2 linked regions of the Solanum lycopersicum genome follow. The protein of the gene in region 2 interacts with the protein of the main gene of each other region in a biochemical or structural test. Links are inferred from orthologs where the notes say so. Each region holds a gene or a part of one and is shown on either strand. Other genes may lie near its edges. The genes, in order: protein ABSCISIC ACID-INSENSITIVE 5 and E3 ubiquitin-protein ligase KEG.

Region 1 (4,472 bases), on a different chromosome or scaffold from region 2:
CTCAACTCGATAATAACTTACCTCAAATTCCATAGTAGACAAATTCTTTGTAGGGAAAATATGTGTACCTTGCAATTCATTTCATACTATAATGTTTCTTTGTCTGTTTGCATTTCTAAAACAATGTATCTAATAAAACTAAAACATAACTTATAAAACGAATGAATACAATCTAGCTACGAATAAATTTAGTCATTTAATATAACGAGTTTATCTGAGTTCAATATTTTCAAACGAACTATCATATATATGTGACAATCATCTAAATAAACTTTCAATAAAAGTTAGATTTGAACTTATAGTTTTAAATTATAATGTAAGATCTTTTAGACAACATTGTTTGTACTTTACATAAAATAAACAATATTTTACCCAAGATCTTTCTAGATTTGAAATACATGACCAAAAAAAAAGATTAATTTTAAGGGGCAAAAACAATATTTTTTTCAAAAAGTAGAAGCAAATAATTATTTTTTTTAAAATATAAAAATATCTTATCATAAATTTATTTATTTTCCGTATCTCGTCCTTTTTCTTTTCCTCTTTGACATAATCCATTAATTATAAAAAGAATAATTATTTTTACTTTGTTTTCTACAGTTCTTAATTCCTCTAATTTCTCCCTCACCTTTTTTCTAAAATAAACAAACTATAGCTAGAAAAAGTGAGTTAACTCTTTGTATAAATAATAAAATAAAATATAATAGTAGAATATTTCATGATAATAATTATGATTTTTCAAAATTTAACATTCAAAAATACTTTTAAAAGAAAATTAATCAGACACAATTAATTACTTAACAACTATTAAAACAAAATTAAATACTTCTCAAACAAACTACAACAATCATCAAAAAAATTTAATTAAGAAATGGCAAATATAAAGAAGTAAAATTGGGTTAAGAAATAAAAAATGTTACAAGTAATATATACATAAAAATACATTTTCACCTGACTATATAATATAATCTTCTTATGAATGGTTGTTAACGTTATCTATCGCTACTAATAACAACAACAAACTCAATTAAATTATACAAATAATAATAGAACGTAATCAAACTTCATTATAAAGATAAAATAATTATTTTTAGAGAATATTTAACTCAAATAAAACCATTTCAGATGATCTCAAACAAAATGATCAACATAATTTATTTATTTATTTTGGTCAAAAATACTAATTTCTATAAAAGAAAAAAAAAAGATTATGGTAACACTATAAGTGAAAAGATGAAAAGTGAAAGCATGCAAAGTATTATTTTTTACACATTATTTTTTTTTTAACCCTTTAGAATTATTATTTTTTTTTTAAAAGGACACGTGGAGAAGTAGGGTGAAGTAAGAGCCTAAATTAACGATTACCAAAATAACACCTGTCTAATACGTGTCAATCTCTCCATGCATGACCAAAATTTCCTATTTTTAGTATTGGTTTTTTTACAAGACTTCCTAAAATTATTTCTATGTACTAGGAGTACAATTTTTCACTATTTTTGCTTACATCTTCTAAAATGGACCCCACTTAACCCCCCACCCCCCACCCCCACCCCACCCCCTTGAAAAATTCAAAGACAAAAACAAAAAACCAGTCTTTAAAATAAATAAAATTGTGACCAAAATGAAGGAGAATACATAGTACTATCATCTTTAGTTGTGTCCTTTGTTCTTCTTTTTCTTAAAAAAAACAAAAGAATAATAATTTAGTTTTCTAATTTTAATTTTGTATTTTATTTTTGTTTGTGGTTATGATGATAAGTTCTTGAGAGACTTCAAAATCTTGGTGGAGCTGAAAAAATAATCAAGAAAAAAGGTATCCCTAAGTTTTATTTTCTTAATTTTTATTGTACTTTAATGTGCACCTTTTTTGTCTTGATGTTTTTTTCTTAAATTAGTCTTATTAGCTTTGTATTGAGCTTATAATGATTTGAAGATTGTAACACTTCATTTATTTTTGTTTGTTTTGTAAATTTATACCACTACCACACAGTGTGTCTAGCACCATTTTAATTAATAAAAAATTATTTAAAAACTCGAACCTGAATAAGTACAATCCAGGGAAGCTAGATCTTATCGATAAGTAATATCTTCAACACTGAGTCTTGTACTGTGTATTTGGGGGGTGGGGGTGGGGTATTGATGTCTATTAAGGGATATGATTTGATTGATGTGTAACACATTGGACAAACAAAGTAAAAGTTCAGATAAAGTTCAGATAGTCAATCAATTGAACAATTAAGATCGCAATATACAAATAATAAATTAATAATGGATAGATTGGGTTTACACTATGATATATTAGTCATATAGTATTTAAGGTTTAGCTATTAAAAGGATTTAATTTTGGGGGGAAATTCGATATCTTTTTTCTTCTATTTAAGATATTTATAGCTAGGGTTTCAAGATTGTAAATAAACTATAATATAATGTCACGGTTACTTTCATTAAAAACTACAGCTCGGTACACTAAGCTTATGTTGTATTTCGGATTAGGGAAAGGGTAGGATTACAAAGATTCGTATGCAATCTTATGCTGTACTCGAACCTCTGACCTCGTGATCACACGATTTGTTTGTTTTACTCTTTCCTTTTGGGCAACTTTAATAATCTTACTAAATACATCTTGTTTATTAGTACTAATAATTAATGTGTGAAAACAATTGAAGAAAAAAAGTTGTTTTTTAGATCTATGGTCCAATAAAAAAATTATTAAACAAAAGTGGAAAGTTCCTAAGGTATTTTAAGCCCACATGCCAAAGAATATGTTTCTTCTTTTGTTGTCCACTTTGATTAGACCCACTAAGTATATTTATTTTAATAAAAAAAATTAATTGAATATAGTATGTAAATATATATTTTGTTTTTGCTTTATTCACACTTCATCTTTTGAACCATAAGGTCCCTTCTAGGCTCTTATGTTATTAATTTTCTTGGGAGGAGAAATAGACGAAGACGATATGAAAGGCGGATTCAGGATTTAAACGTTAATGGAATTGTTAGTACATATACGGAGTTTAAGCTTTAGCTACTGGATTTAGATGAACTCGATCCACCCAACTATGTATTCGTAAGTACTCATTATGTTATTGGAGGGTAGACGTCAAGAGCGGAGCCAAGTAGGGGTAAGTTATCATTTATGTAGCATTCTTATCTTTTTCATGTTTTAACATCTTAGTATTTTGAATCGCTTAGTGAAAATCGTGGCGGGCGCGGGTAGATGTTAGATTCTATGTGTACTAAAATCTACCTTCCTATAACTTTGTATTATTTGAGCTTGATTTTTATTTTTTTTCATGATAGATGTACATCGTTTGTAATATTACAATTTTACGTGTATCATCATTTCTTTATTTCAATTGTTTGATATACGCATTTTTCAGGTCGCTAGTTAAAGATCCGAATCGTAATAACATGGGAGTACCAGAATCAGAGATGGTGTCTCAAAGTGAGGTTCAATCACCATTGCAACAAGACCAAAACCAGCACAAGAACAACCCATTCCCGTCACTCGGTCGACAAGCGTCGATTTACTCGCTCACGCTTGACGAATTCCAACACACTGTTTGCGAGAGTGGGAAGAATTTTGGGTCGATGAACATGGATGAATTTCTTAACAGCATTTGGACTGCTGAAGAAAATCAAGCCCACGCGCACGCTCAGCCTCACTGCCAGGCTGCAAGTACTGGGGAAGCAACTAGCGCCCCACGTTTTGCGTTAGGACAGGGAAATGTTTCGTTGGAGAAAGCTATTGTCGAGCAGCCAAGCTTGCCAAGACAGGGATCGCTTACGCTTCCTGCACCGTTGTGTAGTAAAACTGTGGATGAAGTTTGGTCAGAAATCCATAAGACCCAGCAAGAGCAGCAACAGAACAACGGGTGCAACATACAGAACACCGGTAACGGAAGTTCCACTCAACGACAGGCTACGTTCGGTGAAATGACGCTCGAAGATTTCTTGGTTAAAGCAGGGGTCGTACGCGAACAGGGCAATTCAGCTCCCGCACCTCCTCAGCAGCAATCATATATGATGTATCCAAACAGTGCAAATCCCACTATGGCCGCCATGGCTCGGCCTGTTATCGGCCTCGGTGGAGTCACAGGCGGTGTTGGCGTCGGTGTCTCCATTCCCGGTTATCCGCCACTTCCACAAACCGGGGTGGTCGAGGCACCTGTGTACCCTATGAGCATGAAAAGAGGCAGTGGATTCCCACAACAGTCAACCCCCGTCTACGGTGGTAGAATGGGAAACGGTAGCGGGGTTGGCTACGGGCAAGTAGTGCAAGGCGTAGCCGGAATGGGGTCGCCACTAAGTCCCGTGTCGTCGGATGCACTATGCGTAAATCAAATCGATAGCGGGGGCCAATACGGGTTGGAAATAGGAATGAGAGGCGGGCGAAAACGTGTACTAGACGGTCCAGTAGAGAAAGTTGTTGAAAGGAGGCAAAGGAGGATGATCAAGAACAGAGAATCCGC
Region 2 (4,565 bases):
ATTGGTGCAGAATTCTCAGTTTGACATTTGATCTAGTTATGTTTGACCTGGTTTAGTGAAACATTAGAGTTGCACCTGCATTTTGAAGGATCAATCTACATTACGATGTATCAACTGATACACAAGTGAACTGTTCAGTGCACCCACAAGGCCCCAGCTAGCATAAACGACTGTGTATGATTTGTGAGAACAATATCTTGGTGTAGGTTCACGAATTCATATATCAACTTGTATACCAGTTTTCTCGTTACCCACCATACCAATGAACTTATCATTTATCAAAAATAAATATCAACATCTTAGTGTGGCCTAATAGTCAATGAAGTGGGATAAGCCATGAAAGACCAACTTTGTACTGGGGAAAGAAAGATTGAGTGAAAAGTTCCCCACTTTGTACAGCTGTTCCACAAATAAAAAGGGAAGGTGATAACAAAATTCAAACAATGGTTGGCGGTTGATTTTCAAGAGCGGCCTCAATGATTCACTGAACAATGCCAGTTTGGAGGATAACAAGGAATATTCATTGATATGGGCAGCATGCAATGACGGAAAGTTCACAGCCAGAAGATGTTATAGTCTATAACTGAAACAAAACGAATTGTGTTGCACAACGGCCTTGGAAAGCAACATGGAAGTCAAGGGAACCTGTTAAAGTTACTTATTTTGCATGGGTTGCAGCAAAAGCTTGCCCAACTAGGGGAACTTACAGAAGAGAGGAATCGCTCTTAGTAATAGATAGTATATGTGTGAAGAGGAGTCGGAGACAGTCAAGACTCACTCTAAGGTAGCAAGACTGTGTTGTGAGCTCTTTTCAAACATGACTGGTGTCAAGTGGATAATGCCTCCTGATGTTAAGAGCTTATTGAGCGAACATCAAGAAGTGATAATGTAAACGATATGTTTGGAGCACAATCCTTTTTTGTGTTTTATGGACAATAAGGTTGGAAAGAGATAGGATCTGCTTTAAGGAAAAGACAACATATATCCAGGATTAAGAATAGATATCTATTAAATATGTATTTTTTGTGTAAAAGGAGTATTATGGCAAGTATGGAGAAAAATATGGACTTAATAGAAGAGACATGAGATATGCAGTTGGCATGTTAGTGATTGACGTTGTTTTTCAGTAATCTGTATCTTCTTTTAATAAAAGCTTAACTTATTCGGGGAAAAAAAAGTAGTAATATAAATAAAATAGTGTTTATTTGGAAGCTGTTTTTAAAATTCCATTCTTTGGTTCATATTTAATATGGTCAACCTTATATCATTTGGTTCAATATAGGAGCTCTAAGTCTCTATTGCTTACTATATTTTCTAGAACTCTTGGTTTCGTAGGAGCAAGTCAGAAAGATTGAGAAATAGAACCATCAATTCATTCATTCTCAATAGCAAATACTTTCAGGACATTAATAATTTGAAATGTGTGTCTCATACCTAATACAACAGATGAGAAGTGCCATTACACTGACTGATCAACACGTGGTATAAGTTGCCGATATAATCAAGGCGATGCTACTATTTTTTTCCATTCTTGGTATCTTTTATCTACAAATACATGTATTTACTCAAAGTTTGAGTGTGTGGAAAATCGGGTGCAAGATAGTGACAAAATTCAGCTCTTGACGAGCATTGCAAAGCACGTGTGATAGATTGAGGATGTGAGTTTTTTCCCATAATTTAAAGTTCTAATTACACCAATTCCAGTTTTTTACCTCCAAAATCTGGAACAAGAAAATCAACAAGGTAGACCAAATGGAAATAGGAGTAACCCTCAATCCAAGACACAAGAAAAAATCAGAACTTTTACCTCAGAATTTGCTCAAGTGTTAGTCGCCCTTCATTCCGCTGCATCTCCGTCTGTACTGATCCTTTACACCTATCCATAATCAAGCACAAGCTTCTTTCCAATTTGGTCACACCATGGAAAGCACACACATTTCTACACCACATAGACTCCCTCCTCAACCTCTCCAACTTCTCTTGCACCCACACCACATCCATTTCCTCTCCAACTCCCACCTTCTTCACTGCCACTTTATGCCGACACCTCCCACGGCTACCGCTGCTTCTACCAGAAACAGTTGCTGCCCACATCTCCACTCCATGCCTCATAGACTCACCCCCTATCCTCCTAATCAACTTAACTTCCTGATGCGAACCCACCTCTATCCTCCCACCCCCACAGCCGGAGCTTGAAGCTGCTCGTGCACCATGCCTCCGCCTTGAATCATTCTCCTCATCTTCAGCATTCTCATTAAAACCCCTCTCATTTTCCTCTTCTTCATCCTCATCATCGCTCGAATACCTGGAGTCCCGGATTAAAGCTAGGATCGCGTAGTTCTTCTTAAGGGCAGTAACAGAGTTTCCGACAAGGGATACATGGCGGCACCTGGGACACGATAAGCTACTATCCGGGGAAGCAGAGAACATTCTAGAAAGACACTCCCTGCAAAACCCATGACCGCATTGGAGTAGTAAAGGGCAACGCTCCTCCTCGTCATACCTATTCTGACAAACTGAACAACAAGGTACTCTCATAATACTACAATCAAACAAAGAATCAACAACTATAATTTATATTTAAAAAAAAAAAAAAAAACGCCTCAGAGAAATTGAGATTGTTGAATCCGGGTCAGATTGATAAATGGGAAGTAGGTACAGATATGTACTTGCAGATCCACGGAGAAACAAGAATGTAGAGAGAGAAAGATTAAGGGTTTTAGAGAGAGAAAATGGAAGGTGGGTGGGGTTAATAGTTGAGTTGAGGAAGAAGACGGAAGCTTTACTGACCGATTTTTTGTTTTTTTTTTATTTATTTTATTTTCAATCTCCCCTGTAGTTAATGCCCGGGAAACTTTTATCTACGTACAAATACTGAACCGTATAGTACAACTTACTTAATGCACGCTTAGCTCTCTGTGAATAAATCTTCACTTGCTAATGAACAGTACATTTATTAAGTGGACTTACCCTCCCGTTAGTTTAAGATTATTTTGAGGTCTATCGATAATAATTTTTTTATTTTTTAAGTTAATATTTATGATTTGATCTGCTAATTTAAGGATTTATTACAGATAAGTTTAAATTATTAGCTTCTTGCTTATCTCTAATTAATGATGGATGGTAAAGACCTCCGCATATATTATTGTGAAACGATATTAGGCATATTATTATTATATCTTAAGTGGACTTACCATAACTTTACATAGTGAACCTATTGTGAAAATTTTAAAATAAAATAATAAGTTACTGTAATAAATTAAATTGAATTGTCTATATAAAAAAAAATTATACATTTCATTTTAAATTTGATAAATAAAATATCAAAGAGTTTTCATTAGCCTTGATGGTTGCTTTACAGAGGAGGTTTGTTTAAGCATATAGAATAATTAGTAGAAGGTAATTCATTACTAGGAGCTCATATTCAAATTAAGAACGTTTAATCTCAACTATTTTATCATAATTCATGTGGTCTTTATTTTATTAAAAGTAATATTACTTTTAGATTCTAATTATATATTTATAAATCATTGAAAAAATTGTAATTAATGCACTAAAGCATTGCATAGAAGTCTATAATATAAACCATTTTCTTTTATAATTGTCTTGACGAAATTAAATCATATGCGAAAAAATTGAGGTGCTTTGACTAACAAAAAATTTGAGATATAACTATGTTTCTTGTAACTTTATTGTCCCACTAGTTTAGTAGTGCAAAATTATTTGTCTAAACATGCACCTTGATATATATTTATTTCAGTACGATAGAGAATGTTATTTAAAAAAATAATAATAATAATTTCTTATTTTTAGTTTGATAATTAAGTAGAAAATATTATTTTTAAAAATACTTTTATGTAATTTAAATAAAGAATACGAGAAATATAAGGAAAGTGAAAGATAGGAACCAGAATACGAGGCTAAATGTAAAAATGAAGTGTGTTAAAAAGAATGAGGATAACACAACTATCACTAGTGAAATGGGTCTTCAATACTTTCATTATGATATAATTTTCCCAATATTTCAAAAAGATTGACTAACGGAACGAACACGCCTTTAATGCTTATTGTTTCTCATTAAATATAGTTTATATTTCCCAAGAACTCTTCAAGTATTAGCATTTATTTGGCTCTTTTTAAGTATGGAGTACTTTCAAGTGTTAAATAGCATATGAGAAAAGGAAAAGAAAAAAAAAACTTTGGGCAGAAAGATCACAATGTCTGAATCCTACAAGTAACCAACATACAAAAACAAGTACAAAAATATTCTTTTTCTAGCGTGTTATTCTTCAACGATCTGCCTAACCCAATCAATCCTGTCCTAAATTATTTGATATAGTTTGACAAAACATAAATTTCAGAGAGAACCAAAGATATTTAAAAGATCAGCCAAATATGAATTAAATACCAATCTGTCCTTGTACCAAAACACTTTGTTTTCCATTCTTTGAAGCCTAAATGTGTTTAAAATGCCAGAGTTGAAGTTGTCTGAATGAAACTTCGTGAAGTACAACGACCAAGATGACATGGCGGAACAAGTACAGGGTCTCCCAGACCATTCCATC

What was found.
Region 1: the proteins of E3 ubiquitin-protein ligase KEG (region 2) and protein ABSCISIC ACID-INSENSITIVE 5 form a complex in vitro, tested with the Arabidopsis thaliana proteins (2 studies listed by BioGRID, with this or other methods). The link is inferred for Solanum lycopersicum from reciprocal best matches to the Arabidopsis thaliana genes KEG and ABI5.

What each region holds. Positions count from the first base shown.
Region 1 is NC_090808.1:3,413,255-3,417,726, reverse strand, and holds the start of protein ABSCISIC ACID-INSENSITIVE 5, read left to right. Parts: upstream 1-1,591; 5' UTR 1,592-1,813; intron 1,814-2,837; exon of another isoform or gene 2,838-3,122; intron 3,123-3,380; 5' UTR 3,381-3,411; coding exon 3,412-4,472. UniProt on the Arabidopsis thaliana protein: Participates in ABA-regulated gene expression during seed development and subsequent vegetative stage by acting as the major mediator of ABA repression of growth.
Region 2 is NC_090800.1:83,435,539-83,440,103, forward strand, and holds the start of E3 ubiquitin-protein ligase KEG, read right to left. Parts: upstream 2,815-4,565; 5' UTR 2,539-2,814; coding exon 1,808-2,538; intron 1-1,807. UniProt on the Arabidopsis thaliana protein: Mediates E2-dependent protein ubiquitination. Acts as a negative regulator of abscisic acid signaling. Required for ABI5 degradation, by mediating its ubiquitination.